Callithrix jacchus: one gene and its partners. The protein of the gene in region 1 interacts with the protein of each later gene in a pairwise test. Links are inferred from orthologs where the notes say so. Each region holds a gene or a part of one and is shown in the gene's direction. Other genes may lie near its edges.

The links.
Region 2: the proteins of ZYX (region 1) and CASS4 interact in binary tests that used the Homo sapiens proteins (3 or more experiments, as listed by UniProt). The link is inferred for Callithrix jacchus from reciprocal best matches to the Homo sapiens genes ZYX and CASS4.
Region 3: the proteins of ZYX (region 1) and U3 small nucleolar ribonucleoprotein IMP3 interact in binary tests that used the Homo sapiens proteins (3 or more experiments, as listed by UniProt). The link is inferred for Callithrix jacchus from reciprocal best matches to the Homo sapiens genes ZYX and IMP3.

Annotation. Positions count from the first base shown.
Region 1 is NC_133512.1:104,123,469-104,127,218, reverse strand, and holds the start of ZYX (zyxin), read left to right. Parts: upstream 1-933; 5' UTR 934-998; intron 999-1,145; exon of another isoform or gene 1,146-1,148; 5' UTR 1,149-1,160; coding exon 1,161-1,368; intron 1,369-1,828; coding exon 1,829-2,028; intron 2,029-2,174; coding exon 2,175-2,267; intron 2,268-2,382; coding exon 2,383-2,892; intron 2,893-3,750. UniProt on the Homo sapiens protein: Adhesion plaque protein. Binds alpha-actinin and the CRP protein. Important for targeting TES and ENA/VASP family members to focal adhesions and for the formation of actin-rich structures.
Region 2 is NC_133506.1:52,060,456-52,064,148, forward strand, and holds the start of CASS4 (cas scaffolding protein family member 4), read left to right. Parts: upstream 1-883; 5' UTR 884-1,086; coding exon 1,087-1,122; intron 1,123-3,693. UniProt on the Homo sapiens protein: Docking protein that plays a role in tyrosine kinase-based signaling related to cell adhesion and cell spreading. Regulates PTK2/FAK1 activity, focal adhesion integrity, and cell spreading.
Region 3 is NC_133509.1:22,563,314-22,566,050, reverse strand, and holds U3 small nucleolar ribonucleoprotein IMP3, read left to right. Parts: upstream 1-1,082; 5' UTR 1,083-1,138; coding exon 1,139-1,693; 3' UTR 1,694-2,227; downstream 2,228-2,737. UniProt on the Homo sapiens protein: Component of the 60-80S U3 small nucleolar ribonucleoprotein (U3 snoRNP). Required for the early cleavages during pre-18S ribosomal RNA processing. Part of the small subunit (SSU) processome, first precursor of the small eukaryotic ribosomal subunit.

The DNA of each region.
Region 1 (3,750 bases):
CCCAAGAGCCCCAGCGTCGCCCGGGGTCTCCTAGAGTGGGTCGTGGTGGGCACTGAAGAGCCATCAGAGGGGCAGCCCGCTACCGCGTCGGTTCTTCCCGGTCCCCAGTCCGCAGGTGGCCGCCACCTCGGCCCCGCCTCCGCCCTCCCACCTCCATTCCTGGCCCCGCGGGCCCGAACCGTCCCTCTCGCAACCGATCCTCTGGCGGGGGCGCGGGGGATGCGAATTCCTAGAAGCCTGAAGGGGCTACCCAGAGTTGGAAGTTCGTATCCCGGAGAATGCTGGAGGTTCCGGCTCACACACCCACTCCGGGCACGGAATCGGTGGGGGGGGGGGGTGCCGGGAGGAAGAACGCCCGGCTCCTCATCCCCCATCCCCTTACACCCTAGAGCCCAGCTGCAAGCGTCCGGCACCCCAGGCTGACTCAGAGGTGCCTGGGTAGCGGGTGGTGGCGGGAGGGGACCAGGTAACGGCAGGTCCGAGGGCTGGTCGCTGGGCCCAGCCGGAGACGCCCAGGGGCTGCGTGGCTACCTCCGGGGCACCCGCCCCACCTCCGCCGCTGAGCCCGGAGGGGGACCGTGAGTCAGATCTCGGGCGCCCGCGGGTCGGGCGGGGAGGGTGGGCAGGTCAGGAAATGACATCAGAGGCCTGTGCTCGGGGAGTTGGGGTCCGAGCCGGGCCGGGGTGGCGGGGGCGGCTGTGAGTGGGGTTGCGGGGCCGGACTTCGGCGGAGCCTCGGGCCTGGGGCAGGATCCGGGCCCCTTCCTGGGGGTGTTTCCTGCCTGGTCCGCCCTTCCCCGCTCTCCCCGCCCCCTCTCCGGGCAGCTCCTTGTATGGTCTGGGCGCCTCTCTCTCCCCGCCCCCTCTCTCCTCCCTCCCTCCTCCTTCCGTGGGTCCTTCCCCGCCCGGCCGGAGGCTGCTCCGGACCGGGACGCAGAATCCGCGGACCCGGCGCCGAGGCGGCCACCCGAGACGCGGCGCGCACGCTCCGGCCCGCGGTGAGGCGCTGGGAGCGGCCGGGCGGCCCCACGGAGAGGGGGTGCGGGGCGCCGGGAGGGGGCGCGTGGGGGTCGCCGAGAGCAGCTGGGACCGCCGGGGGCTCCTGAACCGGACTCGGCGCTGCGTAACCCGGTGTCCCACCCCAGCAGCCCGGCCTGGCCATGGCGGCCCCCCGCCCGTCTCTTGCGATCTCCGTTTCGGTCTCGGCTCCGGCTTTTTACGCCCCGCAGAAGAAGTTCGGCCCTGTGGTGGCCCCAAAGCCCAAAGTGAATCCCTTCCGGCCTGGGGACAGCGAGCCTTCCCCGGCGCCTGGGGCCCAGCGCGCACAGATGGGCCGGGTCGGCGAGGTCCCCCCGCCTCCCCCGGAAGGTATGCAGCGGGGCTTGGGGACTGGACCTCGGCAGGCGCCGGGGTGGGGGGCAGTAGTTTCGGGAATTTGGGGATGTCTGGAAAGGTTGTTGCCGAGGGGGCTGGGCGCAGCCACCCTGTCCCGAGCAGATGTTCTTACCTCATCGTGGAGCTCGTGGCTGGGAGCCAGGGCTCCTGGGACCGTTCCAAGTCCCCCGCCTGGGGGTGGGAGGCGGGAATGTGGGCCACGAATCTTACCCTCCGGGTCCGTTTTCCGAAGTGTAACGGGAGCTGCACCACTTCTCCGCCATGCCCCTGGCCTTTCCTGACCCGGTGTTCTCAGGGTGCCCTGTGCCCCTTTTTTGCTTTCCCACACGCTCCGGGACCCCCAAGAGTTCTTGGGTCAGGGGTTAGAGTGGTAAACCGAGCTTGGGTGAGGGTAGACGGACCCCGGCCGACGTCTCTCCTCTTCCTACCCCAGACTTTCCCCTACCCCCACCTCCCCTCGCTGGGGATGGCGACGATGCAGAGGGTGCTCTGGGAGGTGCCTTCCCGCCGCCCCCTCCCCCCATCGAGGAATCGTTTCCCCCTGCGCCTCTGGAGGAGGAGATCTTCCCTTCCCCGCCGCCTCCGCTGGAGGAGGACGGAGGGCCTGAAGCCCCCATACCGCTCCCACCACAGGTATGGAGACCTGGGACGGGCGGCCGCACCAGGACACCCCCAACGAGAGGAGAAGGTCCTTTCTTCTTACCTCCTCTGCACCTCTGCCCTGTTGGGGGAGGGGGGGTGGAGGCATGGAATAGGTGCTCTGACCTCTGACCCTCTAGCCCAGGGAGAAGGTGAGCAGTATTGACCTGGAGATCGACTCTTTGTCCTCACTGCTGGATGACATGACCAAAAATGACCCTTTCAAAGCCCGGGTAAGGGAACAGAGAGTAGGAAAAGCAGGGTCCAAGGCCAGAGAGACTGGGGATAGAGCTATGGAGGATGGTGTTCTCCTGACTGCATCTCTCTTCCCTCTCCCTCCCCTTGCAGGTGTCATCTGGATATGTGCCCCCACCAGTGGCTACTCCATTCGTTTCTAAGTCCAGTACTAAGCCTACAGCCGGGGGCACAGCACCCTTGCCTCCTTGGAAAGCCCCTTCCAGCTCCCAGCCTCTGCCCCAGGCTCCCACTGTGAGCCAGACACAGTTCCCTGTTCCACCCCAGCCCCAGCCCCAGGCTAAGCCTCAGGTTCATGTCCAGCCCCAGCCTGTGTCTTTGGCTAACACTCAACCCCGAGGTTCCCCAGCCCCATCTCCGGCACCAGCCCCTAAGTTTTCTCCAGTGACTCCTAAGTTTACTCCTGTGGCTTCCAAGTTTAGTCCTGGAGCCCCAGGTGGACCTGGGTCACAGCCGAATCAAAAATTGGGGCACTCCGAAGCTATTTCTGCTGGCACAGGCACCCCTCAACCTCCCAGCTTCACCTATGCTCAGCAGAGGGAGAAGCCCCGAGTGCAGGAGAAGCAGCACCCTGTGCCCCCACCGGCTCAGAACCAAAACCAGGTGAGGGATGCTGGTAGGACAAGGCTGGGACCCGGGCACTGGGGCGGGACTGAGTCAGGAGCCAGAGCATCAGCACGAAGGTGACTGGAGAGTCAGAATGGACATAGGGCTGGTGGGATAGGAATTCTTATCCTGCAGGGTTAGCCTGGTGAAACAAACAATGGTAAGAAAATGCTCCTCTGGAGAAGAGAGGCCTTGCTGGGTGGGGCCTGACTGGGAGGGCGCAGAGAGCACAGGCTCTGGATTAGGAGGAGGAGGATCTGGTGGACCTTTCCTTGTGACTTTGTCCCAGAATGTTAAAGGGAGGGATGAGATCACCAGTCCCACCTTGGTTTTTCCCATTCTTGGTTCTCGTGTTAATCTCCCTGCTCCTCTGAGCACTCTTTCTGCCCGAGGGCTTGGAGATAAGTCAGCCCCAGTAAACATGGGCTGAGCCAGCATCCACCAAGTTCCAGGCACTGTGCTCTGTGCCCAGGAGACTGGGACACAAGAGGGAAGATCTCTGCAAGAAGCTCAGCCTTCAGGTGTCAGATGGACCTAGGATGGAATTCCTGGCTCAGCTTCTCCCAAGTCCTTAGACTGGGCAAGTCAGGTGAACCCTGAGCCTCAGTTTCTCCATCTTTAGCATTATCTACTCCATACAGTGGTTGTGAAGATTAGGTGAGCTAATACCTAGAGAGTGTTGGGTTCTGTATCTAGCACATAAATACTCAAAATAGAAAAGCCGTAATTACACAATGGTTCTTGCCTTCTAGTTCAGGAGGTAAGATCGTCCAATTTCTGGTGACTAAGATGACTCTCATGGTCATCCAGTCCAGCCATCCATACTGATAGTGTGGATGTCTGCATACCCTCAGA
Region 2 (3,693 bases), on another chromosome or scaffold:
GACCAACCTGGCCAACATGGTGAAATCTTGTCTCTACTGAAAATACAAAAATCAGCCGGGTATGGTGAGGGGCCACCTGTAGTCCCAGCTGCTTGGGAGGCTGAGGCAGGAGAATCACTTGAACCTGGGAGGTAGAGGTTGCAGTAAGCCAAGATTGTGTCATCACACTCCAGCCTGGGTGACAGAGAAAGATTCCATCTCAAAAAAAAAAGAATACATACTTATTTTGCACAGTATCTCCATGGTGTAGGTCCTCGCTAGAGATTGGATCTGAATTTAGGGAAAGTAAAAAGAGTTGGCAAGTGATGGTAAACTGCATGAGCTAGCGGGAGTTTCAAGTACAGCACACAGGTTGAGTCTTTGATTTCAGAAAGAGAATACATGTGTGGGGCTCGGCATAGCCCTTAGTGCAGAGCCAGCACATAGATGTTCATCATTAGGTACCTTGAGCAAAGACCAGGAGGTGAGCAGGGAGAATGTGCAACTGACAGCGGGAAGATTGGAGACTGTGTCCTTTAAGGCAGCCTGCTTGATGGCTTTTATCCTGGCTGTCATAAGGCAAGTTCTAGGGAGCAGGAAGGAAGAAATGCTGACCGCTATCAGATATTTGGCCTAGTGGCCTCTCATCAGGGAAATGAGCTTGGTCTGTTCAATGGGAGTTGTTCCACAGAGTTCAAAGGACAAGAATGCTATGTGTTCATACACGGAGCTCTTCAAAGTAGGAACTTCACCCTATAAAGCAGAAGAGCGGTGGTTTTCTTTTCTTCTTCTTCTTTTGTGGTTTCACATAGCAAATGAGTTAGTCTCTACTTATAGACAAAGTGAGACGTCAGGCACTGAGGCGTGAGTGTGGCTTATATTTCTGGTCCTCCCCTCCTTCACTGCTTTCATTTTACTCTTATCGCGTGTTCCAGAAAGTTTGCCCGCTGGGAGAATCTTTTTGACCACTTCCCATGAGTTGTCAGATAGCTCCATAGAATTCAGTTTCTGCGAACCAGCCAGAAGCATACAGTGACATTGCATAATCTGCCTCTGAAGCGGAGATATTAGCTGTAGAGCTCAGGGGAGCTGCTCCACATCACCGACATGAAGGGAACAGGCGTCGTGGACGCTGTGCCCAAGGTGAGTGTTGTGGGGCTGTTTGAATGGGCTTTGTCGGGAAGCAAGCTGCGATGAGGAAGAATGTTGACTGGCTTTAGTTGTGACTTTCTGATAAAGGTAAAGGTGGAATAACATTGACATGGGAGTTTGAGATGGGAAAGTTTAATATAAGTTTAAGTGTGGGAATAGATGTGCTGTAAAGCTCCTTACCAGTTTCTGTCCAAGATGGGTGATGATGACTTTGTAGTAGAAATCAACTTACTTGATTGACAGCACCATCTGTCACTTTGTGTCCAGCAAACTTCTGCAGCAAGATGTGAGTCTGCCTCAGCCCCTGTTAATTCTTTCTTTCTCTGGACCCCAAAGACACTCAGTGTCACTCTAACTGTCCTGATTGGTTTCTGCGCTCACCTCCAGATAGCAGAGCCTAGCCCCTTGCCTGCAGCCTCCCATGCTGAGCCCACAGTGGCCACTTACATGTTATTTTCATGTTAACTTGTATATTGTGTGAGCAAAGCTGGAGCTTTCAGACAGACTTCACATCTGTCATGAATCAAAAAAGATTCACTATTTAGAAAGGTAAAAGAAGCTGGGCACAGTGGCACATACCTGTACTCCCAGCTACTGGAGAGGCTGAGGTGAGAAGATTAATTGAGCCCAGAAGTTCGAGTCCAGCCTGGGCAACATAGCAAGACTTCATCTCAAAAAAAAGAAAAATTAAAATGGCTATCATATTAAAAAATTTACCCAGACATAAAGAAAATGAAGCTCAAGGTTGTATTTTCATCTGTCTGTGCCTTTTTAAATTTTAAGTAGAACAGGAAAAAAAAAAAGAAACAAGCACTAAATAGGGAGCTTGCTTATTTTTTAATAATAATACAAGTGACTAGTGTGGCTGGGCACAGTGGCTCACACCCATAATCCCAGCACTTTGGGAGGCCAAGGCAAATGGATCACTTGAGGCCAGGAATTTGAGACCAGCCCAGCCAACATGACAAAACCTTGTCTCTACCAAAAATACAACAGTTAGCTGGGCGCAGCGGCGTATGCCTATGATCCGAACTACTCGGGAGGGTGAGGCACAAGAATCACGTGAGCCTGGGAGGCAGAGGTTGCAGTCAGCTGAGATCACACCATTGCACTGCAGCCTGGGCAACAAAGCAAGACTCTGTCTCAAAAAAAAAAAAATTTTTTTTTAAAGTCGCTGGTGGAACTTATGGGTGAGTAATATATATATATAATCTGTACATATATAAAATATATATACTGACAATAGTAACCAACCCTTACTATCTATATGCTAGACCCTGTGCTGAGTGCTCTACTTGCACTTTCTCATTGTTACATCTTCATAACATGCTCACGAATCAGAGATATTATTCTTAATCCCCTGTCACGGACAAGGAAGCGATGCCTCGCTGACTTGCCCAAGGCCATACAGCTGGTAGGTGGCAATGCCAGGAATCAACCCCAGGCAGACTAAGCTCAGAGTCCCACTCTTACTCGGCTCATTATATTCTCTCCCTTGGACCAGGAGTTGTCAAACTCTTTTCATAAAGAGCCAGATAGTATTTTATGCTTTGCAGGCCAAATACAATCTCTGTTGCATATTGTTGTTTGTTTAGGCAGTCCTTAAGATAATACAATCATTCTTCACTTACGGGTCATCATCTAGACTGGTCCACAGGCCCTTATGTAGTAGCAGCCTATGTCATCTCAGTTCACGTACAGTACCCCCACCCAGCCACACAGTACCGAGAAACACTCAAGTCTTCAACTCCTAGTTCAGAGGCATCTTCGGTTCACAGTTTCTTGGGCGTCCCTACAGAAACTATCAATTCATCCATAAGATACATTTTTTAAGGTTTTACACAAATAGGAGCTGTAAGTAAAGAGCTGTTAAGCTTCTTGCCTTTAACAACTAACAATACGCACTGGTGTTCAGTTCATATTAGTGCAGTTGATCCATCTCATTAATCTTTTTTTTTTTTTTTTTTTTTGAGACAGAGTCTTGCTGTGTCACCAGGCTGGAGTGCAGTCTCAGCTCACTGCAACCTCCACCTCCTGGGTTCAAGCAATTCAGGCATGCACCACCACACCCAGCTAAGTTTTGTATTTTTAGTAGAGACAGGGTTTCACCATGTTGGCCAGGATGGTCTAGATCTCTTGACCTTGTCATCTGCCCGCCTCAGCCTCCCAAAGTGCTGTGATCACAGGTGTACACCACCGTGTCCAGCCTCCATCTCATCCTAATGCCTATCTTGTTGCTTAATTGCTTTATAAATGGTAGCACAATGCTTCAAGGGGTCATGTCATGTCAGTGGTCCTTAGCTTTGTTGCATTCACCTTTAAAATAACTCTGCCTTTCATTCAGGGCCACTGCAGATGGCCTTTCAGACCCTGAGGTTCACCTTTGTACATTGGATATAAACAGTGACTGGTCCTGCAAAGTGTTCCTAATTCTACCTGCTGGCCAGTAGCTTCGTTGCCAACAGAGCCGCTTTCACCTTTGTGCCTAGCAGATTTTGTATAATTACCAGACTGTTTTATTCTGTTTTTAAAAAATTGTTTTATGGAACAAGGGGAAATTTT
Region 3 (2,737 bases), on another chromosome or scaffold:
GGTGGCGTCAAATGCCTGGGCAAAAAGGGGTTCGGTCTGCAGCGCTACCCTCAGATTAATTTACGGATGCAACTAACCCAAACAGCATTAAATTTGCCAACTCAATGCTTGGTGGCCAGAGATGCATGTCAAGATAATTCATTTGAGCACAGACTAAAGGATTTGGACTTGTACTTATAGTCCAAGTTTCTCAAACTTGCTGTTTTTTACGAATCATCTGATTCATAACGCAAGTGTTGCGTTAATAATACAGATTTCCAGGCGGCTCCCTTATAGATTCCGATTCTGTGCTCCTAGGAAGCAGCCAGGCAATCAGTATTTCATGGGTTCGGTGCCACCTGGTCCAACTTGACAGTGAAGAATCACTCCGCCTGCCAGGTGAGCGGATCAGCTGAGATCAGGAGTTCGAGACCAGCTTGCCCAATATGGAGAAACCCTGTCTCTTGTAAAAATACAAAATTAGCCAGCGTGGCGGCCCATGCTTGTAATCTCAGCTACTCAGGAGGCTGGGGGAGGAGAACTGCTTGAACCGGGGAGGCGGAGGTTGCAGTAAGCCGAGATCACGCCACTGCACTCCAGCCTGGACAACAAGAAAGAAACTCCGTCTTAAAAAAAAAAAAAAAGGACCTGACGCTGGCGGCCGGCGGGAACTACCAGGTCAGCCCCAGGACAGTCCGCCCCGCAAGCACTCCCACGGCACCGCAGGAGCCCAGTTAGCACAGTAAACCCAATCAACAAGCCACAGTCACCCCTCTTCCCCAAAAATGGCCTCTTCAGCTCTAGCACGGAAGACCGTAACAGTCCCCAAAGGGCATTAGTCTTGGAGGAAATGATGTCTACACAAACAGTTTTGGCTACTAAAAACCATGCGGAGCCTCGTAGGTACCCGTCCACACCACCTCCCTCCGGTGCATCTACCCACTCCTTCACCAAACGCGAAGAAAAAAAGAAACGCGAGATGCCAGTGCAGAGGCGTGGTCTCACCTTGACCAATGGGAAGTGAGGGCGTGACCCTAAGCTTTTCTTTCATTGGCTCAGGGTCCCCAGGCTTCCAGGTTTTGGCGCGCTGGGGCAGAAACCGCGCAGGCGTCAGAACGCGCTCTCAGCCTCGGGTCCTGCTGCTGAGGTTTCCGCCATCATGGTGCGGAAGCTTAAGTTCCACGAGCAGAAGCTGCTGAAGCAGGTGGACTTCCTGAACTGGGAGGTCACCGATCACAACCTACACGAGCTGCGCGTGCTGCGGCGTTACCGGCTGCAGCGGCGGGAGGACTACACGCGCTACAACCAGCTCAGCCGTGCCGTGCGTGAGCTGGCGCGGCGCCTGCGCGACCTGCCCGAACGCGACCCGTTCCGCGTGCGCGCTTCCGCCGCGCTGCTGGACAAGCTGTATGCTCTCGGCCTGGTGCCCACGCGCGGTTCGCTGGAGCTTTGCGACTTCGTCACGGCCTCCTCCTTCTGCCGCCGCCGCCTTCCCACCGTGCTCCTCAAGCTGCGCATGGCACAGCACCTTCAGGCTGCTGTGGCTTTTGTGGAGCAAGGCCACATACGCGTGGGCCCTGACGTGGTTACCGACCCCGCCTTCCTTGTCACGCGCAGCATGGAGGACTTTGTCACTTGGGTCGACTCGTCCAAGATCAAGCGGCACGTGCTGGAGTACAACGAGGAGCGCGATGACTTCGATCTGGAAGCCTAGAGGCTCTCCCACTCTCCACGGCTGTCTTTTACAGATGGGAAAACTGAGACCTGATGCTGGGATTCTCTGAGGGTGCTCTCCCCACGGGTGTCAGACGGTTGTAGGTTCTTAAGAACTTGATACATCAAGGGCAGGCTGTGCACAGAGCCACTGGAGGTGCGTCCTTGTTTTCCAGGAAATGTTATTAGAACTTGGACTACTGATTTTTGTGCCTTGGGAAACAGTGGGAAGTAACTTGGTGCTGCTCTGGGGTATTGTTGGCTTCTTGCGTTGGAAACTTTGTAATGTAAAAGCAAAAACTGCAAATCCCCACGCTCTGTTTCCCTTTATCGACTTGTAACTGGACTGGTTCCATTCATTTAACTCGAATTCTTGCCCCTGGCCATGGGTTTAAGCTGTGTAGAGATGATGGGGAGTTTGGTGGGCTCAAGTTTTTATAAACTCAGTGAGACTAGTGTGTTCAGGATCTCCTCCCTTGTTTAAAGGAATGCTTTCCTAATGCCAATAAATTACTCAGCTGCTTTGTAAGTGCAACTTTTTATCTGTATGCTTTTGTTTTCTTCTTTCCTCAAGACGGACTCCTGCTCTGTCACCCAGGCTGGGTGCAGTGGCGAGATCTCAGCTCACTGCAACCTCAGTCTCCTGGGTTCAAGCAAGTCTCCTGCCTCAACCTCCCGAGTAGCTAGGATTACAGGTGCCTGCCACTGCGCCCGGATAGTTTTTGTATTTTTAGTTGAGATGATTTCCCCATATTGGCCGGGCTGGTCTCTAACTCCTGACCTCGTAACCCGCTCACCTTGGCTTCCCAAAGTGCTAGGATTACCGGCATGAGACACCGTGCCTGGCCTCTAGTTTTCTTATATAGGGTCATATTTATGCATCCCAGGAACCCAGAGAAAAGGAATAGAGTCAGCAGCGACCTGCCTGTGGATGAGCTCTGCAGTCGGGACCACATATGGAGGATGCAGGATGTTGTACAGGATTCGGCATATTTGTCACTTTACCAGTCCCTTCCTTGGAAGGAATGTTTTGGCAGAGCTCTTC